Nothobranchius furzeri: one gene and its partner. The protein of the gene in region 1 purifies or fractionates together with the protein of each later gene. This does not show direct contact. Links are inferred from orthologs where the notes say so. Each region holds a gene or a part of one and is shown in the gene's direction. Other genes may lie near its edges.

What was found.
Region 2: the proteins of pex5 (region 1) and acox1 purify together in Homo sapiens (affinity purification with mass spectrometry; 3 studies listed by BioGRID, with this or other methods). This does not show direct contact. The link is inferred for Nothobranchius furzeri from reciprocal best matches to the Homo sapiens genes PEX5 and ACOX1.

Annotation. Positions count from the first base shown.
Region 1 is NC_091745.1:74,158,341-74,175,364, forward strand, and holds the start of pex5 (peroxisomal biogenesis factor 5), read left to right. Parts: upstream 1-7,953; 5' UTR 7,954-8,158; intron 8,159-9,673; 5' UTR 9,674-9,715; coding exon 9,716-9,829; intron 9,830-9,915; coding exon 9,916-9,954; intron 9,955-10,068; coding exon 10,069-10,186; intron 10,187-10,296; coding exon 10,297-10,443; intron 10,444-10,552; coding exon 10,553-10,637; intron 10,638-11,070; coding exon 11,071-11,161; intron 11,162-11,373; coding exon 11,374-11,496; intron 11,497-13,440; coding exon 13,441-13,554; intron 13,555-13,856; coding exon 13,857-13,940; intron 13,941-15,408; coding exon 15,409-15,528; intron 15,529-15,610; coding exon 15,611-15,754; intron 15,755-17,024. Other genes in the region: clstn3 (calsyntenin-3), read left to right, coding at 1,312-1,496, 1,576-1,740.
Region 2 is NC_091747.1:74,021,381-74,037,968, forward strand, and holds the end of acox1 (peroxisomal acyl-coenzyme A oxidase 1), read left to right. Parts: intron 1-432; coding exon of another isoform or gene 433-593; intron 594-3,128; coding exon 3,129-3,236; intron 3,237-3,427; coding exon 3,428-3,547; intron 3,548-3,617; coding exon 3,618-3,733; intron 3,734-4,089; coding exon 4,090-4,259; intron 4,260-4,703; coding exon 4,704-4,866; intron 4,867-6,479; coding exon 6,480-6,670; intron 6,671-6,863; coding exon 6,864-7,043; intron 7,044-7,435; coding exon 7,436-7,541; intron 7,542-7,608; coding exon 7,609-7,752; intron 7,753-8,607; coding exon 8,608-8,814; intron 8,815-8,961; coding exon 8,962-9,012; 3' UTR 9,013-9,364; downstream 9,365-16,588. Other genes in the region: transposable element Hobo transposase, read right to left, coding at 14,973-15,328, 15,397-16,588. UniProt on the Homo sapiens protein: Involved in the initial and rate-limiting step of peroxisomal beta-oxidation of straight-chain saturated and unsaturated very-long-chain fatty acids.

The DNA of each region.
Region 1 (17,024 bases):
TTACTGTAGGTTAAATCTTTTCTCACGGGCCAACAACAAAATAAAAATGTAATTTTATCTTAAATGAAAATGCAACATCTCACCTGTTAACTTTCATGTTTTGGAGCAGAAAAAGAGCATAAAACCAACAAATTTAAAGCTCAGTTTATTCCACTGGTTTACTGTGATGCTCACCTGTTCCAGCCAGATACCTGCATCATGGGGTTGACCTGAGCTGAGGAGGAGACTCCTGTTGTTTTGTTCATCTTCATCATAATAATGACAACATTAGATGACAACAGGTGCTCACATAGGTTTGTGCTGATGAACATGTCTGAGCAGCTTGACCACGTTGTTGTGTGTCGGGGAGGAAACACGACCAGTCGTGCTGGTTTGAGCGTGTCGCTGTTCGCTGGAGTTATATCAGTTCTGTCTGGACGTTAGTTTGAAAACTTTCTCTTTAAGCCGTGAACACATTACTGAGCGGCTAGAAACTCCATTTCTGGGCTTCAACGTCAGAAAACAGCTGAGTGAACTCGGCGCTGAGTGAGAGGAGTGTAGTTTGTCCGAGACAGCGGAGCTGCAGACACCCAACTACCCCTGACCTGACTGCCTCGGGCTGGAAAAAACACAAAGGAGGGGGCGCGTCGCCTCCTTGCTGACGCCACAAAGCATCATGGGAGTTGAAGTCTTTGCGGTAAAATCGGCCAGCGGGCCAGTTTTAATATATTTTTGATATTTATCTCGCGGGCCACATAAAAATGCTCCGCGGGCCGCATCTGGCCCGCGGGCCTTTACTCTGACATATGTGATCTAAACCAATACAGAATGATATTTTATAATCTTCTACTGTTTGGGTCAACAAATCTTCAACATTTATGCAAAAAGAAAAAATAAATCTATAAATCACCTTAATAATTAGGAATCTGAAGAGTGAAATTGACAAAAATAGAAGTCTTCCTGTTTGTATTTTTATGTCTCTAAAGCCAATGTTAATTTGTTTCTGTTGACATCTTGACAAAAGGACTCTGTGGGTTTTACCAGCATAAATTAGACAAGTATTGGATTTTTAAGTAGCTATTTAGTCCAACAATGAAAGTGGCTGAGTAAATGCAGCAACCTTTGTTTATTGTTATGAAGATTTGATTTGACCGTTTCAGTAAAGTGGCACATTGAGGCGTTTTTAATATGCTTTTGAGAACAGTGGAGCTGCATCAGGTTTTAGATCAACTCAGATGTTTGTTTCTGCTCATTTTGGTAGTTTCGTGTGATTAAATGAAAACATTTTTATTGAAACTGTTCCTTTGAACGTGGTCTGTGCTTTTTTTACAGTGGTTCCAGGAGCAGCCACCGTCATCATCATGGTGTGTGTGGGTTTCCTGGTTGTCATGGTAATCCTAGGTGTCTTCCGAATTCGTTCCATCCATCGCCGAGGCGACAGTGCAAGGGGAGGGGCAAAGGAAGGAAGCAGCCAATGGGATGACTCAGCACTCACCATCATCGTCAACCCAATGGAGGTAGCACCACTGCTTTTCATTGGGAATAAAATCATAATAAATGAATAAAAAATTATTTATTGACATGTAGTTTCATCAGCGTGTGCTCCCACAGACCTACGAATCTCCTATGGGCATCTCTGCCGACACGGAGGGGGAGGGGGAGGAAGACGAGGAGGCAGCAGAGTCGCCCGACGATGCGAGCGACGACCAGCGAATCATCATCAAGAAGGAGGGCAAAGATGGAAACGCCCGTCGCTACTGAGCCACATGTATCTCTGCACGAGTTCTCATGGAAACCACAAGATCAGCGCTCCTCACACACACACACACACACACACACACACACACACACACACACACACACACACACAAACACACACACACTTTTAACATCAACTGCTGACACCACATGTATAAGGAATGTATGCTTACAAACACAACGCACAATCACTGTAACACTCAACGCCATATGTGACCTATAGCCAACAACCGGCTGTCGTTCTCCACCTAAATGTTCAATGGCACAATGTAAACAGTCAATGTAATTAAATCGCCTAACTAAGCCCCACCAAAATTATATGTGGTCGAAATCACAACACGGTGTCTGTGAAGTGCAAGGCTGGTTGAAAGGGACTGTTTTGTTTAAATAACTGATTGTATTCTTCCTTTCTTAATGAAAAAAGTCAAATCTTCAAACCTGAAGTACGGTTTCTGGGCAAAGACGGAATCCTTGATGTTCACATGTTTGAACTTGTTTAATGAACTGACTCAAAAGGTCTTTGCACAAGCCCTTTTCTCCCTATTTCTATCATCTCCTGAAATATCTCTTCTCCACCACATTGTGAAGGCAATGCGCTCACCTATTGTGTTTATAAAACCTCAAATCAGATCTCCTCACATGCTTTTTTATAGCAAGATTGGTCTCCTACATCCATTCTTTGCTGTATTTTGTTTACCCCCCCCCCCCAACAACATCGGAGCACGCACCAACCTCAGACCTCAACCTTCATACAGGCGCTACTTCTGCAACACTCCATAAATACAAAAGCCTTCAAAAAAACATGAAATACTTTCTAATTCAACTTGTTTTCAGCTTCAAACTGGAGTCTTTGCAAAGTTCCAGCTCGTGCATTAGGATGACAAAAGCAGCGCCTGACCTCTGACCCCCTGCCTGCCCATCCATGTCGCCCTCTGCACCATTTCTCTCACTGTACACTCCTCAACTGAATGTCACACGCAAACACACAAGAACACAGCATCTACATCGCCACCTTAGTTGTTTCCAGAATGTCCGCTCAGCTTGGGCAGTTTTGATTGTAATGAATTTTCTGTACATACAAAATATTGTTATATCTATTATTATTATTATTATTTTGTGTTCACTCTTTCTCTTTCCAGCACATTTTAAGAGGGAGGCAAATTGTGATTTTCTTTCTTTTTTCCATTTAAGGAATCACCTTTCCAGCATCAGAAAATACTATAATGATAATAATGATAATAAGAATACTATTAATATTAGTAGTGATAAGGATGATCATCTCCGGCTTGATGAGTGTCTCTTTAGTTGTGTGTAATATTGTTGTAATTTAAGCATATGTTCATATAAATGAAAAGTAAAAAGGAGGGCACATTGTTGTGATGCTTCAATACGTCTCACTCATTCATGCATTAGACTGCAGGGTCATTTTTCTTTCTTCCCATTTAAAGATAAAATGCTTTTTATTATTATCATTATTCCAAATCTTATTCAAATGTCATTTTCAGTCCTCTGAATGTACAACTGTGTGCTTCTCCTCACCTTTCCCTCCTTCCACCTTCCTGCCCCCCCCCCCCCCCCACACCTCTCCCTCCGTGTCTCTTGCTGTCTGTCTGTGTAGCCTATTAATGTGCAGTGCGAAGGCTGTCAGTACATAAAGCCTGTTGTTTTTGAGTGTGACGTTAAGAAGGATTAAACATTGCATTGAATAATAACTTATATTATTACTATGTTCAGACTTTATCTGTAATAATTATAAAATGCCAACATGGATTATGCTAAGTAATTAACTGTGGGAAAACGTTACAAAATTCATAATAAAAACACTATATGACATCTCCATGAGATGGTTTCTTTATTAATGTGGTGGTTCTGCATACTGGAGGGCATTTTTATCAAGAAATCTCATTTTTGAAAACAAATAAGTAAAATTCACTTTAAAATAGATTAATTTTGCTGTTCGAAAGCTTCTCAATTATGTATCCGTCACGTATAATTTTCTTAATTGTAATTATTGATTGAAATATTTCCTACTTAATAGAAAAATTACATTTTCCTCAAACCAATCAGGTAGGTAATTAGGCTTTACTTACAAATACATCTACCTACACAATATATTACCAATGATTTTCTCAAAGTAAGTAGAACTTCACGTAACCCCGTCCCGTGTCGAGTCTACATATTTTGATTCAGGATTCTTCCGAGTTTGGAAAACTCCAAATCTCGCGAGAATTCATCTTACAGCGCAAGTTCAGTTCAGGTTTGCTTTTAGCACCCCCTAGTGTCAGGTTAGTGAAACCAAAAGTGAAACTTCTTTTCTTGCTGTGCGTCCGTCTTAATCTAACTGCTGAAATGTCTCAAATTTCTACAAGAGCGGCTCATCACCAAATCTAACAAATTAGATGTGTTTTAATCTAAAACATGCAGGAAACGTGCTGGAAGCAGACTCCAGCGCCAGGTATTTCAGCTCCACTATAAGTCCAACAGGGAGCAGCCCGCCACTCTGACAATGCAAGTGCGGCATTCTTGCCACAGAGGGCAGTGAGGAACTGAGTAACATTTCATTAACCCTGTAAAGGTTCATTTTAGCCCATACTGGCTCAAGAAAATGATTTAAAAAATATGAAAAAGTTATGGCTTTAATGGGGAAACAAAGATTTGTGATGTTGTTTCAATGCAAATGTATTAAATATTGAATTATTTTGCACCAATCAGGGCTTTCCAAATAAATTCCACCTTGATACAGTAAATGGTACCTTTAAAATAATTAAATTGTTCAAACAATTTAGTGTCCCCAACTAGAGAAAGCAACTGAAAACTTTCTGCTTTGTATTTCTACACATTTACAACAACAATATTTTTTATTTAAAGGTACAGTAAGTAATCATTTTACAGTGAAATAATCAAAAAATAATCTAACGGCTCAATCATGCTGGAGGAAGGTTACATTGAAACAGATTTCTTTCTCAACAGAGTGGGGGGTTGTCCGTTTTTATCCTTTCGAGGCTGGCGCCAGTCAATGCAACATTTGTAATTTGACACCAGCCAGCAAAAAGCTCCAGAAGTGTGTCAGCAAGCAACAGGAGCGACCCAGGAACTATTTCTTGACCCCTAAGAAGCAAAGACATCCTTGTGTTTTACTCTAATATCGTGTGAGGAAGGCTAGATGCTAACATTGAGCTAACAGTGCTAACCATGAATTAGAAAAACATAGCTGGCTCTACAAAAATCTCAATCTACTTTTTCAACTCAATATTAGATGAAAATGTAGGATACGTATCCACTTATGAACACAATGTGTATGACTCGTCTTCGCTTATCATCTAGAATCTTCTGGAGATCCCTAACTGGTAACAGCCATGAAACAGAGTGGGAGAGGGTCACTTGTGTGTTTTGAAAATGGGCTGCAATACCCAAATTTGAACACAAGATGTCATCCATCCATCATCTGAACCCGCTTGTCCATGCAGGGTCACATGGACTGGTGCCTATCTCCAGTAGTCAATGGGCAAATGGGCAGAGTACAGCCTGGACAGGTTGCCAGTCCATTGCAAGGCAACACAAAAGCACACAGAACAAACAACCATGCACACACACTCAAAAAAACCTGGTTTAGATCCCAATGATTTCAATAACCTCCGTCCCATTTCCCATCTTCCCTTCATTTCCAAAGTCCTTGAGAAAACTGTTGCATCTCAGCTCCATTCCCATCTCACCCGCAATAACCTTTATGAACAGTTTCAGTCTGGCTTCCGTCCCCACCACAGCACAGAAACAGCTCTCATCAAGATCACTAATGACCTACTCATTGCTGCTGATTCTGGTTTAATCTCTATTCTTATTCTCCTCGATCTGAGTGCGGCCTTTGACACCATTTCTCATCCCATCCTCCTCAATAGACTCTCTTCCTTAGGCATCACTCACACCCCCCTCAGCTGGTTTCAATCTTACCTTACTGGCCGCACTCAGTTCATCCAGTTAAAATCCTTTACCTCAGAACCCTCCCCAGTCAAGTCAGGTGTGCCCCAGGGCTCTGTCCTGGGGCCCCTCCTCTTCATAGTATATCTCCTCCCTATCGGCAAAATCTTCCGCAAATTCAATATCCAGTTTCACTGCTTTGCAGATGACACCCAGCTCTACATTTCCAGTAAGCCCAACTCAACTCTCCCACCATCCTCCCTTACACTCTGCCTCTCTGAAATCAAATCATGGTTCACCTCTAATTTCCTCAAACTCAACGGCAATAAAACTGAACTTCTTCTTGTTGGCACTAACTCCACCCTCTCAACATCTGACAGCTTTTCTTTAACTATTGACAGCGCCACAGTCTCCCCCTCACCTCACGTCAAGAGTCTGGGTGTCATTCTCGACAGCTCACTTTCTTTTCAGGCTCACATTAATAACTTAATTCGGTCAGCATACTTCCATCTACGTTCCATAAACCGTCTCCGTCCCTCACTGACCCCTCACACTGCCGCCATTCTCGTCCACAGCCTCGTCACCTCCTGTATCGACTATTGCAATTCACTTCTTTATGGTCTTCCTAAACAAACTCCTTCATAAACTGCAACTGGTCCAGAATTCAGCAGCCCGTATTATCACCAGAACCCCTTCCTTTCACCACATCACGCCGGTTCTCCAGCAGCTTCACTGGCTCCCAGTTAAATTCAGGTCCATCTTCAAAATTCTCCTCCATACCTTCAAAGCTATCCACAACCTCTCTCCTCCATATATCTCAGACCTTATAAGTATTCACACCCCGTCCCGTTCACTCAGATCTTCTTCTTCCATCCATCTTGCGGTTCCTTCTGCCCGTCTCGCTACCATGGGGAGCAGAGCTTTCAGCCGCTCTGCTCCTCGACTCTGGAACTCACTTCCCCCAGACATCAGGAACGTTGACAGTTTTACCCTTTTCAAAACAAAACTCAAAACACACATGTTTAAATCTGCCTACAACCTCTGATTTTATTGAAATGTTTCTCTCTGTTTTTTCTTCTTTGGGTTTTATTATTGTTTTATTGTATTTTATTACGTGTTTTGTGTAAAGTGACCTTGGGTGTCCTGAAAGGTGCTTTTAAATAAAATGTATTATTATTATTATTATTACTCACACCTAAGAACAATTTAGACAGACCAATTAACCAAGAGAACCCATGTGTGCACAGGAAGAACACGCAAACTATTTGAGGCCAGGATGTGAACCCAAGACCTTGTAGCTGCAAGGCAATGGTGGTAGCCACTGCACCATTTGTCATTCTTACATATTGGACCTTTAATAATAATAATAATGGTGTTTTCATTCAAAAATCCACAGATATTTTGCATTTTTTAATAATATGAGCGTATTTTCCAGTTTAGTGCATGCTTCTGTTAGATTTAGGAGCTAGAATTTGTTAAATCAGGCTGTTGAACTGCAGGTTTCTTGTTTACAAAAGTATGAATGAGCAAAATTATTATTACCTAATGAGAACTTTGACGGTTGTTCTTTTTTGTATACAGAGCTCAGTATCTCTTTTATTTGTCCAGAACAACCAAAAATGTGAACTCATCTGACCACAGAACATATCCACTGTTTTTTTGTCCATCTGAGATGAGTTAGTGTCCCAAGACCTCATCATTGTTTCTACACAGTGTTGATTTATTGCTTCCTCTTTGCACAGCAATTTTACATTCCTGGATGTAGTCATGGCTTTTGTGCAGTGGTAATGGTTTTCCAAGGGGCCCCCAAGAACACTTGGCTGATCTGATCACTGTAACATGAAGAGTCTTCGTGCTCAAAAGCCTGAGGACTTGAAAACCGTAAATACCTGAATGATGGTTTGCAGGTTTGACCTTTATACTTTGAGACTTTCCCAAACTATCCTTTTCCCCAAATGTTGAAAGACTTGGGTTCTTTGGTCAGCTGCACTGAGGATCTTTATTTTTTTCCACCTGGATATTTCTGACTCCACCCAAGCTGCAAAGACAACCTGTGAGGCTTTTCTTTATATTGGCTGACTAATTAGTCAGTAAATTATTAGTTAAACTAAAAACACAAGATAGGTTTTCCTAAAATAAAAGACTCCACAGAAGGGAACATCTCTTGCTTTTGTTGGACTTTAGTCTCTTGCACATATTTTTACGTAAACGTACGTGCTCTTTTGCCTTTAGAAGCCCGACTTCCACGTTCGTAAATATTTGAAGAATACAACTACGTAGAGTACGTAGAATTACGAGCCTCTTGCAGCTCGGTGAAAGGTTTTGTGGGTCATGGAGGAGGAAGGTAAATAGAAAAGAGGCGCTACTACGAACACACAGCGGAGGCTGTGAGGCGGTGCTGGAGGATTTGTTCTGACCCAGCTTTAGCCCAGAAAGGATCCGGCGAGGACGGAAAACAGAGCGGCGCGGAGCGACTGTTCGGCTACAGCAGGAGGAGCTGTCGGCGGTGAGATGAACATCACGCTACCCCGTAAACACACTCCTCCTCCGGGTGGAGACCTGTGCACTGGCCCTGGGTTGCTAGCTTGCCAACTAACACTTAGCACATCTATTTTAAAAGCTAAATTGTTGCTAATTGTTTTCATCTTCTTTTTAATGTGCTGTTTATTGAGCCCACACGAGGCTACAAGAGATAACAAAGCTAATGTTGTTGCTGGGTCTTTAGCTAGTTAGCGCGTGGGCCATTAGATATCTGAACGCTGACTGACAGGTGTGCACAATTCAAAAACATCTTTTTTATGATTTCAGTTTTTTTCCACAAAAGTGGGCCATCTGTATTAAAACTACAGCATGTCTCTTGAGTAGATGTGTTGTGTACAAACATGTGTCACAGTGGCCTATCAGTGATAATGTCTGTATTAATATCTTTGTCTAAGCCTCTTACTTTGACCCTAATCATAATGCAGCAGCTGTGTGATTCAGTAGGAAAACTCACGTCCACATTCTGCATGAGAGCAGCGACTCCGTCCACCTGCATGGACGGGGTTGTGTAATGCTGTACTTGGTGGTTTAGATACAAAATAAGAGCTGAGTGGAATTAAAAATCTGTTCCACGCATTTCATTATGGAAATTGTTTCACATCCCTCCAGGGAGAGTTGGAGATTTTGAGTAGGCTAAATGTACCCTTTTGTCAGCTGTTCATTCTTGGGCATGGAGATCAGTGATCAGCAGTAGTTCTATTGTTTGTATATATGTTTAAATTGTGCTGTTACTCTTATTTTGGCAGATCAGGTGAGTGACACAAATGATTTACTTATACCAAATAATTCCTATAAAATAACTGTAATCTGTTATTTTTATTTTGCAAATATTGTTGCCCTTTCCTCTCATCGACAATGTTGCTGCTAAAATGAGCCGAACTTACTGGAAGCACGGAGCAGATGATATTTGTGTGCCTCCTAGGCCATTGCTTTCTCATTAGTAACGGTTCGAAAAAGCCAGGAAGTGATGTAAAAAATGACAGATGGGAGTTTAAACTCGTCGATGCAACGTGAAGCCACTTGTGCAGCTTCCAGGTTTCTCTTTTCTGACCCATTCACTGTAAAATCAAAGCAAAAATTATTTGAGTTGTCCTTCGGACGTTTAAAAACAAATCTGCAGTAAAAATAAACCTCCTTTTCATTGTGCTTTGTTCAGAACGTGTCTGTTAAGGTACCACTTGGGGATTTACTATGCGTAGGTACAGAAGCATCTGCAGTCCAGACAACCTAGCCAGCTGCTGTGGAAAATATGTTTTTGATTCACACTGGCCAATGATTTAGTTCAAGCTTGTTTAAAATATTTGAAAGAAATCTGCTTAAGCAGATAAGAGGACGAAAGCGTCACCAAGCATTTGTAACGGTGTTAGATCTCCTGTTATTATTAACCAGCTGTGCTGCACTAACAGCAATGGGGGTGTTACTGTTATATTGAGAAGGTTTAAAACAAACGCAGCAGTAGAAGATTTCCTTCTGTTCGTAGTCCTAGGTGGTGTGGTTGGCTTTGCCTCATCCTTGTGTTGCCATGGCGATGCGGGAGTTGGTGGAGGCGGAATGTGGGGGGGCCAATCCCCTCATGAAGTTGACCAGTCACATGACCAAAGAAGAAGGAGCATGGCGGCACCGCTTGACACCCACAGTGAGTTGTGTTTCTTTTTTTTTATTTTATTTTAATTTTTTTTTGTTTAGCTGCATCATTTATTTATTTATTTGAACTTTTTTCAGATTCCCCCCACACCCATTGAAATTGCAACAGAGGAAGAGGTCGGTGATGTTTTTCGTCAGGCATTAGAATATTATTCTTACCACGTTTCTGATTTCTGGATGTAATCTCTCAAATAGCCACTTTTAGCCTTTTTTTGTGTTTTTATGTTTTAGTTGGTAAATGAATTCCTTCAGGCGCCTCCGCGACCCCCACACACGTTTGACATGGGTCAGTTGTTGGAAGAAATGCAGCAAATTGATCAGCAGAGCTACAGACAAGCTCCACAGAGAGGTATTTCATGTGTATAATCTTTTATCTTATCTGCTTTATGTCCCAGTTTTAAGAAGTTCCCGTGTGTTAATAATGCAAAAACAGTTTTAAGAAGCATTTCCTGGTCTTAGCTCCAGATGTAGCAGCACTGGCCCTCTCGGGTGACTGGGCGGCCGAGTTCCTCTCGGGTCCCGACTCTGCTGCCACACAGGGGCTGAATGCTCTCGGCGAGGCGGCAGATGCTGATTGGACCAAAGAATTTATCGCTGAGGCTGCAGGTAATTTGAGTCTGTGTTTCACTCCGTGCACTCGTTCTCTCTGTTTTATAATGAGATCCGTGACAAATCTGTCTTTTTTTGCTCACTGTTTTTCCTTCTCCTGCTGCAGATCCTGGACGCTGGGCAGAAGAGTATCTGGAGCAGTCTGAGGAGAAACTGTGGCTGGGGGACCTTGGAGACAAGGAGACTGAATGGTGAGAGCAGAGCTTGAATCGCTTTATGAGTGTCGGTAAAGCCTGAGCGCAGGAAAGACACTTGTGGGGGAGTAAAAGCAGAGAGGAGCACGGGACAAAACAAAAGATGGCCGATCTGAATGCAGAACTAAACCTTGAGAATGTTGTTGACGTCGTGTTAAGCGGATGTGTCGGGATAGATTTTAATTTCTCCTTAACTTTTTCTCTCTTCTACTTTTTTTGTAATTATACTGAGCTTATTGTGAGAAAAGCTCTCACTGAAGCATTTGATCAGAACGAATGCTCATGTAATGATTATCGGCCTTGGACTTCTCTTCACTGGCAACTATTTCAAAGTGCTGCTTTCAGCCTGAAATCATTTATTCCAGCCTGCAGAACCACGAGTAAACAGAGCTCTTACTGCAGCGTGATGGTGGTATTTTTGATCTGACAGGACAAAGGAGTATCAGGCTGAGGATGAGCTGAGACAAACGGCCAATGAGCTTGTCTCAAAGGTCGACGACCCCAAACTGCAAAACACCGAGGTGAGCAGCGTTTCTTCCACCCGTCGGGGATCCTCTTTATGCTGCACATCATTCGTTTTTACACATCTGTCACCATAATCTTCCTCTTCTGTAACATTTTCAGAGTAGATTTGTTTTTGTGAGACTGTTGTTTTGGTGTCGCAATCAATGAGCTGCTAATTTGCGAGACCTGACGGGTTAGTAATGGTAAATATTTTTTTGTTGTTGTGTAGTTCCTGCGATTCATTAGGCAGATTGGCGAGGGCAGTGTGACAGTGGAGAGCAGAACAGACAAACAGCTGACAGATAAAGTTCAGGCCGAGGAGGCTCAGAACTGGGCCTCCAACCTCAACCAGGTATGAGTCACAGCCCACTGAGGAGGGGGTGGTTTCAACTGGGAACACGTTAGAGTTCGGGTAGCGAATTGGCTCTTTTTTTTTTTTTTTTGCACAGCAAAGGCTCTGTCTCGTGACTCATCCCCTCAGTATCTGTACAAATTTTCCACAAATGTAACCAAATGAAGCCACGTTCTCCCTGTAATATGAATCTCAAGCCTGTAGAGAAGATGTGTTCTGCAAAGAGGACGGCTTCTCCTCGTGTGAGGGTAGCTCTTTGTTCCTGTGTCGACTCCGGCCACGGCTTTCTCAGAGCTGCAGCGAAATTTCCGAAATTCTGGTGCCAGATTTTATTTTTCAGCTAAGCGTGGAAGACCGTATCTGCCAAGAAACAAAGAAATACTAAATAAACAACAAACAGTAACTAGTTTATTGAAAAAGAAAACATAGAAGCTTGCCAAACTGGAAAAGAATAAAGGAGAATTGAAATGGCAAGTGGCATAAATGAAGATCAGGAGCTTTCCTTTACTTCAGCTTTTAAAAATTTAGAAGTTGACTTTAAAATATCAACTTTACATTTATTGTTCAGGATATTTGGTCTAGTAATTAAAACAAAACTTACAAGTAGTTTTTCTCCATCTTTAAAGTAACACAGAGCAGGTTCCTGCTCCTCCCCCTACTGGCTGAAAGTGGAATTACAATTGTCGTAAACAACCCTGCTGCAGCCTGCTGTAGCTAGCGCTAACAACGAGCTAACACTAACACGAGACAACTAATACTAAAATAAACCATGAAGTAAAAAGATTCACACTGTTGGACAAAAATATTACTTACAAGTCCCGTAGCAACAAGGCCAGGTCACCATCAGTCCGTGGCTTTTGTAGCCTCCTTCAGCTCCCTCAAATTTGTGTAGGCCACGCCGATGTTCACTCTGGTTTTAGCTCTTTGCTTCACCTCCAAAGACATTCCTCTCTTACTTTTACTTCCAGGCTCCGCCATGACACCAGCCTTCTTGTGCTTTTTATTTGACGATCTGCATTCTGAAAATGCTAACCGCTAGCATTACAGCTAACAGCCATAAAACAGGTTAAGACCACCCTCTACAGGGCACCTACCCGCTCCACAAAATGATCAAGCGTGGTTTTTGGCCAGCAGAGGGCTGCAGAGTGGTGTCAAAGATTAAACTGATCAAGTTTCTAACTCAATAATCACTGAGATCAATATTAAAGCTCCAGCTTAAAGAATCTATCTGTTGTTACTTTAACCCTTCAAAGTGTAAAAGGCCGAAACGCCCATCAGTTTCTTGCTCCAACACACCTGATTCATTGGATCAATCACCTGTTCACCAGGCTCTGCAAAGGCCTGTTAATCACCTGCTCATTGAATACAGGTGTGTTGAAGCAGGGAAACTACTAAAACATCCAGGATACCGGCCATCCAGGACCAGGATTAGGCACCCCTGAATGCTCTTTTTTTTTTCTTTCTTGCAGACTTTTATAATTTACTTCTTTTAATTTGTTTATTTAGAATTTAAAAGTGTTTACTGTTTTCCCCTTAGCGCTATCGCATTGGTCCATCATGGCTTTATGTTGCATTTGAAATGGTTTAAGCCCAAATTCTCTGTCCTAATTTGTTGCTTTTATTCCTTTATTTAATGCTCTCTTTTTCGTCCTTTTCTTGGTGAAAATGGGTTTAGACTCTTAATCCTGCTTTGCTTGGACTGTTTATATTCTTTCATATCCTTTGACTTTGACACATACTGTTCCCATTTTTGACCAGCCTTCAAACTCTTGGCTTGGCATTCCCTCAACAACAAAAAACTGCTTTCATTTCTTACGATTGTGTTTAAAACGATGCTTATTCCACCCACCCTTCCAAAACCAAACCTCCCCACCAACTGCTTCCTTCCCCTCAAAAACGATGTCCCCGCTTGTCACCGCCACCCCTCCTCGCCTCCCATCGTAGTTCCTGACGGAGACGGGGGGAGGGAGTCTTCCCTTGGAACCTCCAGAGACGAATCACCAGATTGACAAAGTTAAAGCTAAACAAGCAGAGCAATGGGCCAAAGTCGTCAGGCAGGTAGGCCCTTTGGGGTCGTGGCAGCAGAAGGTGTTTATTTTTTGTGTTAGAAGTTAATTTTTGTCTATTTTATTCCTACGTGAACATTTGAGATGCAAGTAGCGTCTGATGCTGCTAGAAGTAGAATTAGGAAGAAGTAAAAGCGGGTTGTAGCAAATTACCTAGTCTCTGCTTTCATCGCTGCTTCCTTTATGTTCTGGCTTCATCTCGCCTGTTTTTAAACGTCCCCATCCTTCGTTCTCGTAGGAGTTGGCGTGGCCAGTGAGAACAGACTCGTAGCAACCGTTGTCATTTCTCTTCAGGTTTCAGAGGAGTCGGCGGAAGCCTGGGTGGACGAGTTCGCTGCATCTGGGCCAGATTTTCAACAAGCTAAAGCGGCGGTGGAGGTAAATGTGAGAAAACCTCTAACCCAAATGTGGGGTATAGGGTCGTCACGGTGTGAAAATTTAACCTCACGGTTATTGTGACCAAAATTATCACGGTTTTCGGTATTATCGCGGTATTTTTTTAAACGTGTTAAATTTTCAGACCACTAAATAAACCCTGCTGTATGTCAGGAAAAGATTGTCCGCAGTTTGTGTCTAAATTTTGTAGGGCTGCAGCTATCGAATATTTTTGTAATCGAGTACTCTAATAAATTACTCTTTTGCGTTTTGTAAACCCTTGTATCAAATAGCATGTTATAAAATATGAAAGACCTCTTGAAATGAGCAAGCAATTGCCAGTTATTCTTCAAGTTTTATTCAAATTTAGTTTTCAAAACTTCAGCACTTCAACTTTACGTCACAGTAAACAAATTCAAGCGGCTGCAGCCCAAACAGAACCAGAACCGCTCACGGCGCATGCGCAAACATGGCTCGCCAGCTGTTTCCCTATTAACACACGTCCGTTTTAATTTCTACACTTTTTTTCTCACACTAACAAGGATTGTCGAAAGCATGTTTACCGTGGTTATGTCAAATTATACTGATCACAAAACATTTATTTACTTCCTTTCGTTTTCCTCCGCCGCTCATAAATACCGGTGTCCTCCTGCAGCAATCCTGAGGGAAAACAGACATCAATAACAACACAGTGAAAAGTCCGACGTGTTGTAAAAACTGTTATTTTTAGCACATTTTAAGTCCAACGTGTCCCTCCACCGTGTCCTGGGTCTTCCTTTAGGTCTCCTCCCGGTTGGACGTGCCCGGAAAACCTCACCAGGGAGGCGTCCAGGCGGCATCCCGACCAGATGCCCGAGCCACCTCAACTGGCTCCTCTCGATGTGGAGGAGCAGCGGGTCTACTCCGAGCCCTTCCTGAATGACTGAGCTTCTCACCCTATCTCTAAGGGAGAGCCCAGCCACTCTTCAGAGAAAACTCATTTTGGCCGCTTGTATCCGCGATCTCGTTCTTTCGGTCACTACCCAAAGCTCATGACCATAGGTGAGGGTAGGAACGTAGATCGACCGGTAAATCGAGAGCTTCGCCTTCTGACTCAGCTCTCTCTTCACCACGACAGATCGGTACAACGCCCGCATCACTGCAGATGCAGCACCAATCCGCCTATCGATCTCACGCTCCAGTTTTCCCTCACTCGTGAACAAGACCCCGAGATACTTAAACTCCTCCACTTGGGGCTGTAGTGTAATGGTTTATGGTCTCACTCTGTGGGTGAAAGTTCTGCGCGCCCCAGCTTTGACCCAGCCGGGCCAAGTACAACCTTTGGCACAGAAAACCCATATTTCCTCACGTTACAGGGCAGAACCTCATCCCTGATGATAAACGTATTATTATTATTAAAGGTCAAACCTGTCTGTGATACAGAAGGATGTAATGAGGGGTAAAGTGATATTTGTATCTTTCATTTTGTCAGAGTGATGTGGACTTCTGGGAAAAGCTGCAGCAGGAGTGGGAGGAGATGGCCAAGAGAGACGCAGAGAGCCATCCCTGGCTGTCTGACTATGATCAGCTGCTCAGCTCATCTTACGACAAGGTAGCTGATCAGAGCAGTCGGGTTTGTGATGTTAGATGTTCTGACCTTGCTAATCTCCTCTTCTTCCGTGTGTCTCCTGTAGGGGTATCAGTTTGAAGAGGACAACCCCTGCTTGTCCCATCCAGACCCCTTCTCAGAAGGATTGAAGAGGTTGGAGGCGGGGGACATCCCTGGAGCGGTCCGATTCTTTGAAAGCGCCGTACAGAAGGAACCAGAAAACCAGCTGGTGGGACTTCCACGCTCTCGTGTTTTGCTGGTGTATTTTCTCTCGTCCTAAGCCTGATTCATGCTTCTCCGTCAGCTCCAACAGGGAGAGACGCGCACGCACGGACGGAGACATTTTGCTCTCATACTTCTCCGTCTCCTGGAGTGTTGCAGAGCAATTCCCCGCCAGGACAACAGAGGGCGTAGCGCTGTTCTGTGGTATCCTGTCATGTATCGGTCCAAGATACAGTGATCCCTCGTTCATCGCGGTAGATGCGTTCCAGACCTGGCCGCGATAGGTGAAAATCCGCAAAGTAGGGACACCATATTTACAGTATTTATTTAACAGGAGAGGGAGCGCAGCTGATCCTCATCAGCCTGATCAGCGGGACGGCTTTAAAAGGAGGGCCGTTATCCAGATACGACGCCGGATGATTAACTACTGCCTGACTCGCTTCTCCTCTGGATTCGCTCCCGTCTTGGAGACTTCTGGATACTCACCGGTTCGCTGCCTGGATACCAACTCCGCTCTGCCGTCCCGCTCTCCACCGTGCTCACGCTCCCTCTCCGTTTCCTCGTCCTCCTCATCCGTTTACCCTGCCACCTGGAAATCTACAATTCGCCTCTGGATATCACCCTGAACTTCCGCATTTTGCCGCTTCCTGGTTTACCCTCCGCTGGATCACCAGTGCGCCCTCAGTTCTCCTCATCATTAAAGAAATAAAATTATTGTTTATCTTTTACCTCGACTCGAGTCTGATTCTGTATGTCTTGGGTTAGACACTTACCCCAAAACATGACAGAAAAATACCGCAAATCGGCGAATTTCCCTTGAATAAGGCTCCAAAGAAAAAATCCACGAAGTCGTGAATCCGCGATAAACGAATCGCGAAGTAGCGAGTGATCACTGTATTGTGTTTATATTGGGTTTTTTTTTGTATATAAGAGACTTTTTAACGTGGACAAAATAGTCTCTCATCCTCCTCCACCTCTTCATGCACTCGCCAACTCTAAACCCACGTTTCCTGTCATTTCTGCCCACAAATAAAACGCTTGCTGTGCATCTTTTCACTCCTCCAGTCACGGGGAATTGAACGTTCATATTTTTAGAGTTTTTTTCATGAGGTATTCTTCAAGCTTCTCCGTGTCTGCCGCTAGTTATCCTCGGCTCTCTTTATGTTTTTGAGGGCGCGATGGCGGCGCTGTAGACGACAGCGGCGCCCTGACCAATCACAAGCTTGCGTTCTCCTTCTTGACGGACGGATGTTAAGAAAAGAGAGCTCGACTCCGTA
Region 2 (16,588 bases), on another chromosome or scaffold:
ACTGGTGATCCTAGAGGATCTTCCCAGATGTTCTCTAGTGTTGAAAGTAAAACTGAGATGGGTGATCCGAACCAAAACCATGACCGTGTGCTACCCGTGAGTTTTGTGAGCCGTTCCTTCCCTGCCAAAACGCACTTGAATGGGAAAGAAGATGGTGGTAAATGTCAGTGTTGAAATCAGCACTTCCAATATGCATGTAATGCTCAAAAACTGTTTTCTCTGTTGCCTCTGCTTTTATTGTTTGTTTGCACAACCACACCTCCCTCTCCTTCTCTTCTCTTCCCTTAAACTTGAACCGTATCAATCATTAACCAACAACTCCTCTGTGGGTTCTCTAAACTCATCTCCTGAAACTCTTCATATTCCTTCTTGCCTTTCCCACATTACTGCTTGCTTTGCCTTTTCTGTTTGCCTCTGTCTTGCTTGGCCAAGTTGTGTGCACCCAGGTGGGCCATCGCCCTTGGACCTCCATTTGGTGATGTTCCTGCCCACTCTGCTCAACCAGGCCACCCCAGAACAAATGGAGCGTTTCTTCATGCTCACCTGGAACCTAGACATCATCGGCACCTACGCTCAGACTGAGATGGGCCACGGTAAAATAAACAGACCCGTTCTGAGCAGCAGGACAGTTTCACACAGGTCTCTTCAAACGTTCTGGTTGTATTTGTCAGAAAATCCCAAATGACTAAAGGATTTATCTCTTTAAGGCTGCAGGGATGTAAACGTTTCAGCGTTCTAGGAAACAAGTTAAAATGTTTGACGCATTCTGTTTGAGGTCCAATCCACCCTATTCCAAGCCCTCAAGACCCTTTATGTAAAATATGCGACCTGCCTACCGTTTACATGGCAACCATAGATGGATGATGCAATCCATTTGTGCTAATCCACTTTTTATGGTCTTTTTAGACGTAAACTATGTGGGAACAGCAGCTGTCACAGCTCAAACGGGACACCGTAACAATCCCTCTGTCTACTGCACTAGACGGGCGGAGGATGACATGAAAACCTGACCAAAGCTAACACGCAGTAGCATTCTAGCTACTTAACTCGGTCACGTCTGACGGCGAAGCAATGAACGATCATAAAAGCTCCGTGGCTCTCCAGGACCTACATAGTGATATTCTCTTGAGTCTGAGTCTTGAGTGCATGTTCCAAACATCGCTCCTGTAGCCACTAATTTCACTTTCTCTGGTTGTTAGTACAACCGCAAACATCGCAACATTTAATTCTTAAAATCTGCACAAAAATGTTAAACCGCTACGAGAAACCAAACCTCACCATGCAAACCAAGAGCTCTGCACCACTTCCGGTATCGTTTCTACATGAGCAGGCCCAGGAATGAGGTGGATATATAGTCTAGCCACGACCCATAGACAAAGCTCAGTCCTGGGGCGAGATCTATAGGCGCTTACACATTGGCGTCGGCACGGTCGGGGTTTGGTGGGGCTGGATGGAGTGAGTTCGGTCTCGAACGGGCGTTGTAGTGTTCACATAATCCGAGGGACTTCTCGGGAATGTAGAAATCCCCGAGCCTGAAAGAGACCCCCCTGGCTAATTTTACTCACAAATCATAGGCGGTAGGCGTAACTGTCTCTACATGCTATCGAACAACATGGCGTACTCACCGCTATGGATGTCCGTCTGCGGGGCAGTCGCCATACACCGGTGAAGACACAAATACATCTTTTTTCTAAATAAACTCAAGTACCTCTCTCTGCCCTGGACTCAAAGACAAGTCCAAGTCTAAATAGTCCAAAGTTGCCGCCAAAGCCATTTCAATCAAGCCGTCGCCATCTTTGTTTTTTTGTTCAATCGCAGTAACATCCCATCCACCAAACCAATGGAGTGCTGTGATTGGCCAGGCACAAGACTCTTCGGTCCTGCTGAGACTCCGATGGGGTGTGGCTAGACTGACCTGTAAAGCATAATTGTTTTACTTCTGCGACTGTCTGTCTAGGTTTCTAGGCAGTTATATTTTACAAAACAAAAATATGTTTTCGTGCCAAATTTCAGCAGAGCTGGTGGAGAATGCTGGGCTCTGACTGAAGCCTCTAGAGATGTCTGATCAGAGAAGATTAAGTAAGGTTGAAGGACACACTAAACATTGATTGCGTAATTATTACATTTATTTAAGGCTCCTGTTTGGTGTTTGCACAAAATCTTCATTTCCGCTTAGAATTCCACCTTTAGACCCCTAGAATAGCCACAATTCCTTGGATTCCTTTCCCGATCACCAGACACTCCCAGATAAACTCCCCCTTTGACCAACCCTTTAAACTTGACTAGATTTTATGTTTTTAACACGGGTCGTAATCTGTTTTTGCTGCAGTCCAGCTAAACTAGCAGGACGTTCATTATCTCAGAGGATGCTTGAGATCTGTCAAACACTACAAGATGCTCTGCTTTACTCTTTTTTTTATATCAAATTAAAACAAAATTTTAATTGGCTTTAAGGAGCTTTGAAAGAAAAGCGTCTGGACTTCTTTGAGTTGCTTGAAGACGTTTCACCTCTCATCCGAGAGGCTTCTTCAGTTCTAAGGTCAAATGGTGGAGAGTCCCAGATTTAAACCCAGTGGGAGTTTCCCCCCGAAGAGGGGACAAAAGACCCCCTGATGATCTTCTACAAAAACACATGAGCCAAGGTGTGAGGGTGGGTGTGGGTCCTATTCAGCCAGAGTTTCGGGTGAGCTCGTTGTGAAGCCTGGCCCCACCCTATCATGTGAATTCCTGAGGTCAGGATATGCGTGGGCGTTGAGGCATCTGGGAAGGGATCTCAAAACTGGATTATAGATGGCAGACAGTTGGTGTCTTCAACGTCCGACGTCTTGAAACGTCTTCAAGCAACTCAAAGAAGTCCAGACGCTTTTCTTTCAAAGCTCATTAGACTACAATGACCTGGATGACTGAGAACCTTCACAGACTTTAATTGGCTTTGTTGAGTCAGACAATAACCATGTCTTCTGAGCCATGACCTCATTTAATCTATGCTGTTCTCTTGCTAAGAAATGATCCTGTCGTGTTGTTCAGCATCATCTATATGTAAACACGTCCTAATGCCTAACTCTACCTCTCTGTTTCTTTAAAACTCTTCTTCCTACATGTTGTTTGGTGGGCTTTAACCTCTCTAGGCACTCACCTCAGAGGCCTGGAGACCACAGCGACATTCGATCCAGCCACCCAGGAGTTTGTGCTGAACAGCCCCACCGTCAGCTCCATCAAGTGGTGGCCCGGAGGACGTGAGTACATCCACGCTGTTGTGTCTCTGGTGCAGCTGGGAATCACAAACTCAATAAGCTGCGTTATCATTGGCCAGTCGCTTCATAAAAATCCACTTTATGGGTCAGCTTCTGTCTTTGTTGTAATTTGGTTGGAGAAGCACTGATCAAAGTGGATGGACCAACATAATCTGCCCACTTTGTGCTTCCAGTGGGGAAGTCTTCCAACCATGCTATAGTCATAGCCCAGCTGTACAGCCTGGGGAACTGTCACGGTTTGCACGCTTTCATCGTACCCATCCGCGACATGAGCACACACCAACCTCTACCAGGTAAACTCGACTCGTCTTTTCGTCCTCGTTCATCACCTCACCCTGTTCATACGGCTCCTTTCCATCCCAGGTATTGTGGTCGGCGACATCGGGCCAAAATTTGGCTTCAGTGAAGTTGACAACGGCTTCCTGAAACTGGAGAATGTGAGGATTCCACGGGAGAACATGCTAATGAAGTATGCTAAGGTACGGTGATGAGAATATCTGAGCAGACTTTAAAACCACAATCATCTACCCAAGGTTTGCCTTCAGTCTAGCTACACCCCTGCTTGTTGCGGTTGTTGTTTCACCATTAGAGAGGGTTCATGTCTGCTTTTATTTATCAGTTGTGACCACTTATGGTGTTTAACCTTCTTTTTACAAACACGGTGTGTTCATGACTTACTTACTTTTGGTTGCTAGCTTGTAGCATTTGCTGTGTTGAGCTAAAATTGTCCCTTTAGGTTATTTTACTGTAGATGGACGGAAATCTGAACAAGTTCCAGATGCATGAAGTCCTTATTGCAGATCTGGGTGTAAACGTGACTCTGGCCCTCCTCTAGGTGGAGGCAGACGGTTCCTATGTGAAGCCACCCAGCTCCAAGCTGACCTACGGCACCATGGTGTTTGTCCGCTCCATTATTGTTGGCGAGTCTGCTCGGGCCCTCGCCAAGTCCACCACCATTGCCATCCGCTACAGCGCCGTCCGTCACCAGTCTGAGATCCGACCCGGGTCAGTCAGCACAACAAGCAGATCAGATCAAAACAAATGTGTCTCCCATGGGGATTGTTGTTGCAGTACGGAGAATATGCTTAAGGTTATGTGTTGAGGTTGTTCTAAGTGCAAGTTCTGGACGTTTACATCGAGTATTTTTCATAGAAAACACAAGAACCAAAGACAGGTAGACATGTAGAGCATCAGAGGAAAGTAGAACCTTGGAATTATGGGATTACAGAGACTTTTGTGTTATTTCAGGAAATACGTGTTATTTAAAAATGATCAGTAAAATCCACAATCTGAGATGCTTCCGGATCAAGATGCATTAATGCATGATGGCTCTTGCTGCTACAACATCATGAATAGGGTTAAAGCAAACAATCGGAAGAATAAAAATGGCACTGTAAAATGTGTGTGTGTGTGTGTGTGTGTGTGTGCGCGTGCGTGTGTAATCCATAGAGAGCCGGAGCCTCAGATCCTGGACTACCAGACGCAGCAGTACAAGCTCTTCCCCCTGCTGGCTACAGCCTACGCCTTCAGTTTTGTTGGCCAGTACATGTCAAAGATCTACCACCGCATATCTGGAGACATCAACGACGGGGACTTCAGCGAGCTCCCTGAGGTACCAGCCACACTGTCACGTTCAGGAGTTACAGTCATGGGGAAAAGTTAAAGTCCCATTAGTCGTCACACACTTTTGAAATTACATCCTCGCATTTGATCCATCCTCTGGGGGAGCCGCAGACATGTCCGCGCTCAGGAACTATTTGGAAGTCCACCTTTCGGTGCTAGAGTTTTACTTATCAGTCTGAAAGAGGCTGATTAGTTGCTTCTAAAATTGTTCAAGTCTCACATCAACCCCACCATCAACCTGAGGACTTCTGGCAGAACGAGATTAAACTGAGATGTTTACCCATAATGCCCAGCTCCATCAGCACCCGATCTACAAGCAAGCAGCTTAAAAAGAAAGGAGCTGAGGTTCTGTACTGGACCGGTTAAAGTCCAGACATAAGCGCTGGTGCTACAGAGATGGACTCGGCTTTAGTTTCATAAGTAAAATGTCAACTATTATTGTTGTTGTTGTTGTTATTGTTATTGTTATTATTATCATCATCATTGTCACTATTATTATTATTATTATTATTATTATTATTATCTTTATCACTATTATTAGTATTATTAATATTATTATTATCATCATCATCATCATTAGCACTTATTATCATCATCATTATTACTATTATTATTATTAATATTATTATTATTATTATTATCGTCATCTCATCATTATCACTTAAAATCATCATCATCATCATTATTATTACTAATATTATTATCATCATCATTGTCACTATTATTAGTATTATTAATATTATTATTATCATCATTATTATTATAATCCCTATCATTATTGTTATCATTATTATTATTATCACTATTATTATTATTAATGTTATTATCACTATTACATTATAATTATTACCATTATTAATAATTTATTATTATTAAAATTATCATTACTGTTATTAATACAATTATTATGATAATCATTATTATTATTTATCATCACTATTATTGTCATCATTATTACCATCACTATTATTATTATTATTATTATTATCATCATTATTATTATAATCACTATCATTATTATTATCACTATTACTATTATAATTATTATTATCACTATTACTATTATAATTATTATCATTATTAATAATAGTAATTATTATTAAAATTATCATTACTGTTATTAATACAATTATTATGATCATCATTATTATTATTTATCATCACTATTATTGTCATCATTATTACCATCACTATTATTATTATTATTATTATTATCATTATTATTATAATCACTATCATTATTATTATCACTATTACTATTATAATTATTATTATTACTATTATTATTAATGTTATTATTATCATTAATGTTATTATCATTACTATTATAATATTATTATCACTATTACTATTATAATTATTATCATTATTAATAATAGTAATTATTATTAAAATTATCATTACTGTTATTAATATAATTATTATGATCATCATTATTATTATTTATCACCACTATCATTATTATTATCATAGATAGTTGTTTTATTAAAGCCAGTTGGAGCAGGAAGATGGAGGTCGGAAGGTGAAACTGACTGGAAATCAAAGCTGATGCTTGTACCGCTGAAGCTCTTCTTCTCTGCCCCGTTGCTCTTCCACCTGCAGCTCCACGCCCTCTCTGCGGGTCTGAAGGCCTTCACCACGTGGGTAGCTAACTCTGGTATCGAAGTGTGCCGCATGTCATGTGGTGGCCACGGTTACTCCCGGAGCAGCGCCTTACCGGACATTTACGTGGCGTTTACCCCCACCTGCACCTACGAAGGAGAGAACACCGTTATGATGCTGCAGACTGCCAGGTGACTACACAGGAATAAACAGCCACGAAGGCCACTACCTGTCGGGTCCGTTCCTTCAAAGAGATCGTTTTAGTTCATAAAACTAAATACTAAAGCACCGCTAAACCCACTCACCTGTACAGCTGCAGCCTGCAGACGCGTCTGTGACTGTAGCCACGGTGAAACTGTCGTCTGTAACGTTGGGTCTGTGCAGATATCTGGTGAAGAGTTACCGGCAGGCTAAAGAGGGCCAGCAGCTCAGCGGCATCGTGTCGTACCTCAACGAGTCACAGAACCGGAGGCTGCAGCCGCAGGCCGTCGCCGCCCAACCGCCTGTGGTCGACGTCAACGATCTGAGCAGCCTGGTGGAGGTCTACAAACAGAGAGCTGCAATGTAAGAACGTTGTGATTATTTCAGTGGGTTTGAGTTTCATCTTAACGACTCTGGGAGGAGTCACGTTGGTCTCATTTACCAACACCTTTACTGGGGCTCAGATGGGTTCTACTAGAATGTCCGATTGATGATGATGATGCCATCAGAGTCCTGCTTCTGTGGTTTTCTGTGTGCAACCCGATAGCCTTTGCTGATGACATCACTCCTACTGTCTGCTGTAGTCTCACCCAGATCCATTTGCCAGCAGGTGTCTGTTGCGATGAGCGCAAAGTGTGAGGCGGACTGTGGCTCGGTAGCTTCAGACATCAGAACAATCCAAACAAAAGTTAACCGTTCATTCAATCCGTTTGAGTTCCGGTGAGTTTTATCTAATGCACGACATGTGTGTTTAGTCTGGTGGAGATGGCAGCCAAGAGCATCCATCAGGAGCTGCAGCGCGGGAAGAGTCAGGAGGATGCCTGGAACGGTAGCGCCATCGAGCTGGTCCGAGCCTCAGATGTAAGTCCACCCGTGTGCGTGTGCATGTAGAACTGTGGAGAAAGACTGACTTGTGTCGTGACTCCAGGCCCACTGTCACTACGTTGTAGTGAAGGTCTTCAGTGAGAAGCTGGGGGAGGTCGGGGACACAGCGATACACTCTGTGCTGTCCACCCTGGCTCTTCTCTATGCCATGCATGGGATCGCAGAGAACTCCGGAGACTTCCTGCTGGTAAGTAAGTCCTTCAAGATGAAAACCTGTCAAAAACATGTGGTCTCTTCTTATTGAAAACCATGACTCAGCAAATTTAGATCTCATCTGGTTTACTGTGTGAACAAAAAAAAAAAGATACGTTGTTTCTGGTGTTGACTGGGCGATGGTGGCAGAGGAGTTAAGGTTGGTTTATGCTTGACGCGTCCGCGAGGTCCGCACGGCTCCGCGCGGAAAAGTTGCGTCATTTTAACAACCACGCCCCTCCACCGCGCCTCCACGCGACCCAGAGTTTCCACAACGCGTACCTCCAGAAAATTTCTAACCACGCGGACGGACGGATGCGGAAAAACATGGCGGACCGGCAAGAACTAGTATGGCAGAGGTTCGTAAAGACAGACATTTGTATGATTCAGCTCTCAGAGATCACCGTGATCAACATGTTGTTAATAATTCTTGGAGAGAAATAGCTCGCACTGTCGGAAAAGACGAGAACGCTGTTAAAAATGCTGAAATGCCATGTTGTAAACAGTAATTTCTACTTCTACTATGGTGTAGTGTTGGCTGCATGCCGTAGAGCTCCATGCTGCCCCCTACAGTTTGGGAGAATATTGGCTCACCGCAGAGACGAGCCGCACGAACCATAAACGCTGCTAGTTGTGAAGCGCGTTCCATCCGCGAGCCGCATCACCGCGCGGAAAGTGAATGCGTCAAGCATAAACCAAGCTTTAGGTGCCTGCTCCATGATCAGAGGGTTGCAGGTTCGAGCCCCGTCTGCCACCCTCCTTGCCTGCTGGTAGTGGTCGGAGGGACCGGTGGCGCCTGTGCTCGACGACCTCGTTTTCCTAATTGAACATCTCTGGTGTCTATTTTCAGGCTGGACTGCTGAGCGCGCCTCAGGTTTTACAGATTTCCGTCCGTATCAAAGAGCTCCTGTCTCAGCTGAGGCCCAACGCCGTGGCGCTGGTGGACGCCTTTGACATCCACGACAAGAAGCTGAATTCTGTTCTGGGACGCTTTGATGGAAATGTCTACGAGAACATGTTCGAGTGGGCTCGTCGCTCGCCTCTTAATGCCACAGAGGTGAACAAACCATCATCATGTGACGTGAAGAGTGGATATTGAATTTGTAGCACGGGTTCCAGGACCTGGTTATGTCATTAACGTATACGTGGTAATCCTTGAAGTGTTTATTATCACACCTTAAAACCTGTCCCATGTTTTCCTCAGGTCCATGAATCCTTCCACAAATACCTGAAGCCTCTGAGAGCCAAACTGTGAGCTGGTGGATGGACAAGGGCTGCCGGCTGGAACACTAACCCTGCACACATTTTACAGAAAATAAGAAATGGGCAGAATTAGTGAGAAATGTAGCCCCCCCCCCTCCTCTCATGAGGTGAAGTTTATCACGATCAGCTGATATACATCCCACCTGTAGAGCCGTAGCGACTTAGTGGAGGGCAGACACACTTAATAAACACATTTCAGTGACAAACATAGAAACAAATGCTAAATTATTGTTTAATTAGATAAAGTTTGACTTCACAGAAATAACAACCGATACAACAGGAAAACCACAATGGCTGCAGATGTTCTGTGAACTAAATATCCATTAAATTTATATTTAGTCTCATGTTTCATCATCTTTTCTTCACGTCCAGCATCGAGTCGCTGGTGAAGACACGTTTCCCTCCAAGAGAAAACAATCGACATTGGCAACCTTGTTGGACAATCTTTAACAGTTGATATTTTAAGCTTGCACAAATAGACCTTGTGTTGGATGTGCTAAGATTGAGGATGATGTAATTATGACTGCGTGCATGCAGGTGTCTGAGATTGCTTCAGGGAGAGAAAAGGTGAATCTGAGTGAAAAATGATGTTTTGTAATTAAACTTAGTTCTTATTAGAAAAACTGCATCAGAACGCTATCTATTGTGTTCTGCCTCACCGTACTCAGGACCCTCTTTCAGATCCGGACCTCGGAGGATGTTTATCCAGGTCACACCTTGGCTGGCAGAGGAGACGAAGGTGTGCGACGGTCCAGTCCAGAGTTGACCTCGGTACACGTTGATGAAGCGTTTAGCAGACGCGCTTTCTCAAGTTTAAGTTAACTCAGAAATCAAAGACTCTGGGACGAGTCTGCGTTAGCTAGTTGCATTTCAGCTATCCTGTCTGGCTTGACAGAAATAACGTGGGGGGGGGGGGGGGGGGGGGGAAGAGCCGGCAGGGCTCTTTTCCCCGTTGGCGTTTGTTCCGCCGTCCGCTCTCTTTCGTTCTCAATCTCGTGAAAGGGCTGCAGAGTTGTAGTAGACCAATAAGAAAGATACGGTGTTGATTTAAAAGAGACTAAAGAAGGAATGCCACTTTTTTATTTTTACATGAGATATTTTATTATATTGAAGCTGATCGACCCTAAAAGAAAATCTTTACCCTGGAAATAATTTTTTTGTCAAACACTGAAAACCCAACAGCAGCAGTTTAGCTCAGGCAGTTTCCTCACTGCGTGAGATCAGATGGGATCATTTAGTCTCTCTGCTTTCCAGTTTATAAGTGTGTGTGTGTGTGTGTGTGTGTTTCTGAGAGAACTGCCTCTTCATCCGTGGAGATGATGGTCTGATGCTGTGTGATGGATGATTTCAGCAGTCTGCACGCTTTCCTGCTTTTGAATGTCGTTGAGCGGCAGAAAGATTTCTGCGTTTTTTTGCTGCAGTTGAAGTTAGCTGTAAAAAAAATAAGCTGTTTGAAAACACACACACACACTCACCACGTGGGGTAGCTTTTGTTTTAATGATCCCATTTGAACTGTTCAAACCTGAAATCTTCAGTTCTTACTCTACTAATGCTGCTTAAATAAAAATGCCTGCAACCTCCAGCCTTTTCGGGTTGCTGCAACCTGGATTTTTTTTAAACAAAATTTTCACCAAATTAAAAAAAGCAACAAAATACCCATAAATAGTTTTATAACATTTTGATATTGTAATCCCAATGGTGACAAAAGAGCGCTTTACTCAAAGTATCACTATAAAATGTTGATTTATCTGGAAGAAATGTGCCTGAAAACGATTTCTGCTCTTAATCTGGAATTTTTACATTTACAAAAGCTAAGCAGCGTTTGCTTTCTGTGGGAAATAGCAGTTATCGTTACAGTGTAAACTGTTGTTAAAGCAAGCATGTGGAGTTCATCATGCTCTTTGATCAACAGGGATTTCAGTTTGTCTTAATGTTGAGTAAATAAACAATCATTTGGTCTGATTTTCTTGATCATGTGTTCACAAACTTATTTTAAAGATGTGATGAGGTCTCACATTTGTTTCTCCATTGTTGCATCCCCTTTGTGCAGCGTCCAAGAGCACGACGCCATCCCTATACATTTCTGGTAAACCACACATTTAGCTTCCTTATCTGAACACCGGAAACGAACCCTAATCTTGTTTTTGTTCTTTTGGGAATATTACAAGGGAGAGGAAGTAGGAGGGTGGTAAAAGGGAAATATGTCTAATGTGTTCTATCATGTTTCTCTTATTTAACTAAAATCACATTTAAAACTATTCATGCCTCCAGAAGAAAGAAGAAGAAAATATCATTTCTATAGCGCCTCTCAAGATAAAAATCACGAGGCGCTTCACAAAAACAAAAAATGTAAAAATATAAAAAAGCATTTATAAAATGTTTAAAAATATATTTAAAATGAACAAGAATAAGCAATTGCGATTTAAAACAAAAAATGTTAAGAAAGAGAGAGTGAATAGGAAAGAGGGAAACCAGTGGATCCTGAGGAAGGTGGAATAGGTGGGGAGAGCTGAACAAGGAGAGGGTGGAGAAGGTCATACAAAAGCCAGCTTGAACAAGTGAGTCTTCAGCTGCTTTTTAAAGGAGTTCACTGAGTCCACTGATCTCAGGCTCAGGGGGAGAGAGGTCCAGACACTGGGGGCCACAGCAGCAGATGATCTGTCACCTTTGGTCTTTAGCCAGGTGCTGCACAAGCTGTAGGCTTTGATCACTGGACCTCAGGGACCTGCTGGAGGTGTAGGTACTAAGAAGTAGGGATGCACCGATACTGGTATCGGTATCGGCACAGATACAATGCAAATACCAGTATCGGTATTGGTAAAAGTTAACCGATACCAGGAACCGATACCAATGCAGTTGTTTGAAAATGGCTTCACTGTAACTTGTCATTTCTGTTCACCTAATATTTTAGTTTTGTGATGATTTCCATTCATATATTTTACTTTTTATCTACCTCACAGTCTTTTCCTGTGCAGAGAAGAAAATAAAATCTGTATTCCAAATCATTGCCTTTTTTTGTATTGTAGAAGTATCGGTATTGGTCATCGGTATCGGCGAGTACTCAGATCCATGTATCTGTATCGTATCGGTTTGGAAGAAAGTGGTATTGTTGCATCCCTACTAAGAAGATCATCAATGTAAGATGGTGCTTGTCCATGTAAGGCCCTATAGACCAGAACCAGGATCTTGAAATGAACCCTGAAGTTGACTGGCAGCCAGTGAAGCTGGAGGAGACTAATACCCACATCAACATTAGTCTAGAAAACATTAGTCTCGTTCATGTGGACAGCTAAGTTGAGCTTGAAAGTGTCTTTTGGAGCAAGACCTTCTGTCTTGGTCTTCTCAGCACAGGAAGAACCTGAACTGGCTGCTCGGTGAACACCACTCAGTTCTTGCTCTTGCTGTGCATCTGAACTAGTTCCTCTGTATCTTAGGAGACCAGTTCTTACAGTGGTTAGCTGAGTGGTCACGTCTAGATGACCTGAACTCAAAGAGAAATATTTAACTGACGATCTTGGAAGATGAATTTCTTAACAAATATCTACCAAGGACCGCTTGTTTACTTCTTCACTGACTTCCTCGTTGTTCTTGGTCAACCAATAAGTTAGCCTGGCCTGCCAGACTCGTCTTCTGTTTAATTCTGCACAGAGAAGCGTGGGGCTGGCTGGTCAGGCTACCAATAAGTGCCATCAGTCAAATCATCAGCTATTAAAGACTTATAAATGTGTACATTTATGCATTGTGTTTGCTGTGAAAGAGAAAATCTAGACAGACTAGCAGAAGCAAAAGGATTTTTCTCTGCAGGTCGGTCTAGCCGTGCTCCATAGGAGCCTCAGCAAGTCTACTGTTGGCCAGAGTAGTTTTGTGTCTTGCCAATCCCCGCACTCTATTGATTTGGTGGGCGCGAGCTGCACGAATGCTGCTATGGAGTGAAAAAACAAAGATGGCGACAGATCGTGTGAAACAGCTTTGACATCAACTTTGGGCTGGTAGACCTGGGCTTTAAGGCAAGAGCAGATAGAGGTACCTCCTCTTCTTCGACAGTGTATGGAGGACTGTCTTGTTGACTGACGTCCGTAGTGGTGAGTATGTCACGTTGCTGTCCAATAGCGTGCAGAGACAGTTTGAAAGACAACCATAGAATCCAAGACTGAGCTGTGTCTATGGGTCACGGCCAGACTATATTCACTGGCCACTTTATTGGTTCCACCTCTCCAACTGCTCATCAACGCAAACCACTAATCGGCCAATCACACGGTGGCAATGTGAAGCATTTAGGCATGTAGACATGGTCAAAACGACCCGCTGCAGTCCAAACCGAACCAGAATATCGAAGAAAGGTGATTTAAGCGACTTTGAACGTGGCGTGGTGGTTTGTGCCAGACGGGCAACTGCTGATCTGGGATTGTCACTCACAACCATCTCTAGGGTTTACAGAGAATGTCCGAAAAAGTGTAAACATCCAGTGAGCAGCAGCTCTGTGGGTGACAATGCCTTGTTGATGCCAGAGGTCAGAGGAGAATGGCCAGACTTGTTCAATCTGATAGAAAGGAAGTAACTAAAATAACCACTCGTTACAACTAACGTTCTCTCTCTGAAAGCACAACACGTCCAACCGTGAGGCAGATGGATTACAGCAGCAGCAGAAAACCATACCAGGTGCCACTCCTGTCAGCTAAGAACAGGAAACTGAGGCTAAAATGCACACAAGCTCACCAAAACTGGATAATAGAAGATTGAAAAAATGTTGCCTAGTCTGATGAGTCTCGATTTCTGCTGCGACATTCAGATGTGCTGTTGTTGTGAGTGAATTATTTCTTTTTTCATTCTGTCAGAAGCAAACAGACTTTTCTGATTGTTGGTCAGCATTGTTGGCTGATGTAGTTTAAAATATTCTGATCAGAGTCAGATCAATTCAGACTGAATATTCACAGCTTTAGTCTTGTATTAAATCTGTTTACACATCTCTACCCATATGAATAAGATAATATATCCTACATTCATATTATTAAATAAAACTAAAACAGTACTGACACATAAACAGCTGTTTTATAATTAAAATGTCCAGGTTGGTCGGTTATCATCTGGCTAATGGGGAGCGTAAGTCTCCTCCCCTTCTGGCTGGCTCATGGGTCCCCCATCAAAAAAAAAAACAACTGAATGTTAGTGAACTGGGCTATAAAAGTTATTTTCTTGTCTTTCTGGGCTTTACCTTACGCCCTGAGTCACATCTGTCAGCATGGACGTAATTTTCACTTTAGAAGTGGGGGGGACACGGGGGTGGGTGGGGGGGGGGGTCTTTACAGCATGCTCTAATGGGAAACAGGCTTCAACACAAACGGTTGTTTTCCGCTTGGTCCTAGAGCTCAACCACTGTCAATTTAATATAGAGTAATATTGTTTTGGGATGGTAAAAAGTGCAGGGGTCAAAACTTGACTTTGGAAAAAGTGGGGGGGACATGTCCCCCCTGTCCCCCCCCCCCCAAAATTACGTCCATGTCTATCAGGCTTTACGAATCCTAGAGTTTCACCGTCTATCAGAAGCTAATGCAGGAGATAGCGGTAGGAGACTATGTTCATGTTCAGCCTGCATGAAACACAGTGACACATTAGAATCAGAAATAATCATTAAATGTATTTTTTTCCAGTGAGGTTGACCTATATATTGACCTACAACAGATTTGTTAGATTTCCAAAATGTGTCTTCCCCCCCCCCCCATTAAACCCGTTCCTACGCCCTTGCATATGAGAATAGGGGCACATGTTTCAATCAGCAGTTTGAGGATTCGTTTATATAGGCGCATTTATAAACCACACAGACCTTAACTGAGCTTTTAATGGCATAAATGAACATGGCAATAAAATGATAAGAACAAGCCTTTAAGAACAGCCTATATCCGGTTGAACATGGCAAAAGTCCTCCATTTTCTGAACACAACAAGAGGAACAGTTTATTTGGCATCGTGCAGGAAAAGAATGGCATCCACAGTTTCAGGGGCAAGTCCAGTCCTCCTTTCCCCTATCGCTCTTCCAGCTGCGCTAAAAGCGCGCTCGCTGCTGCTTCTGCTGGCCGGGACACTGAAGACCATGCGGGCTAGACGTGCCAGTAAAGGAAATGTGGTCTCGTGTTGCTTCCACCAGCTCAGAAGATCCCTTCCATCAGCTTCCATGGTGGGGTTGAGGCTGAGGTAGAACTGGACTTCATCAGCATCCTCACTCTCCTCTCTGACGTTTTCCCACGCCTTCTCAACCTCTTCCAGCGCTCTCCTCTTTGGCGCAGGACCAGCAGCTGCTGCGCTTGAAACATCTGCGTAAAATCATAACAAAATTAGGCTAATTCAGGCCAATTTCTAGCTACATTAGTAACAAAAATACCTGATTGTCCTGTATGCTCCTGCCAACGCGCTGCAGCAACCTCCCCCACTCTGAAGCGGTTTATCAGGATTCTCACGTGTTGCTGGATGTCGGTCCTCTCGGCGGGAGTAAACATCCGCAGTTGGTTGAACTTTGGCCATAAAAAAATGGCAATTTTATGAAGTGGCTGGATTTCGATTGTTTTTGTTAACCAGTCGAGGTGCCGCTGGCGGATGACAGCCTGGGAGGGAGTATCAGCCACGTCCGGCTGGCAGTGGCTTTTCAGCTTGTTGGCCCAGAGAACAGCGAGGTGAAGCGTCGGGTGTTTGTCTCCTTCTAGTTCCTTTTGCGCGTCGTTAAATGGGCGCAGAAACTCCACAAGGAAGGCGAGAACATCTGGGGAGACATTGCGCAATCGTGCGCTCTCGTCGCGGCTCTGAAGAAGCTCCTGCAGCTCTGCGTGGACTGACTGAATTAACTCCAGTGTGAGGAAGACTGTGTTGTATCTAGTCTCTGCCATTTGTTTGACGGTTGTTGGCAGCTGAGAGGCGAGGCCTGACTGTTTCAGGTAGCGAACTAAAGCCTTGACCGCCAACAGGGTCTCCGCTACCTCTGGGACCGCTTCAGCCAGCTCATCGGTGTTTAGGGCATGTCGGAGGACTGTGTTGTACAGGTGAACTTGACAAGCCAGGTGCCTGTATGGACGGAGAGCAGCCAGCACGCTTGCGTCCTGGTCGCTGACCCAGACAACGTTGTTCATAATGGACGCATCAAAGCCGAGGACTGTGACCAGCTGCTGCTGAAGCGCTTTTCGGATATGATCTCCTGTTCTCGCGTGGTTTGGGAAGCATGTTGTGGTGAGTAACTTGCGCTTGAGTTTAAATGTTGGTGTTACATAGTGACACGTGATAGCCATGTAGCTCATTTTACGGAAATCATCCGTCCACATATCTGTAGTCATGCCAATATTTATGAGCGACATCACCTGTTTTATCTCCTCAACTGTCCCCCCTCTCATTTCACTGGCCATCATTTTGCACCTTCGGGAGATTGTGGTCGGGTTGGGGAGAACTTCATTGGCTGAAATGCGGCCATGTGTTGCACCGACGTTTATTAATTCTTGAGCCAACTCTCTGAAACCTGCTCCCGCAACCGTTTCAAATGGCCGAATGTCCACGCAACAGAAGTTCACGCATTTATTTGCGACCTCCGA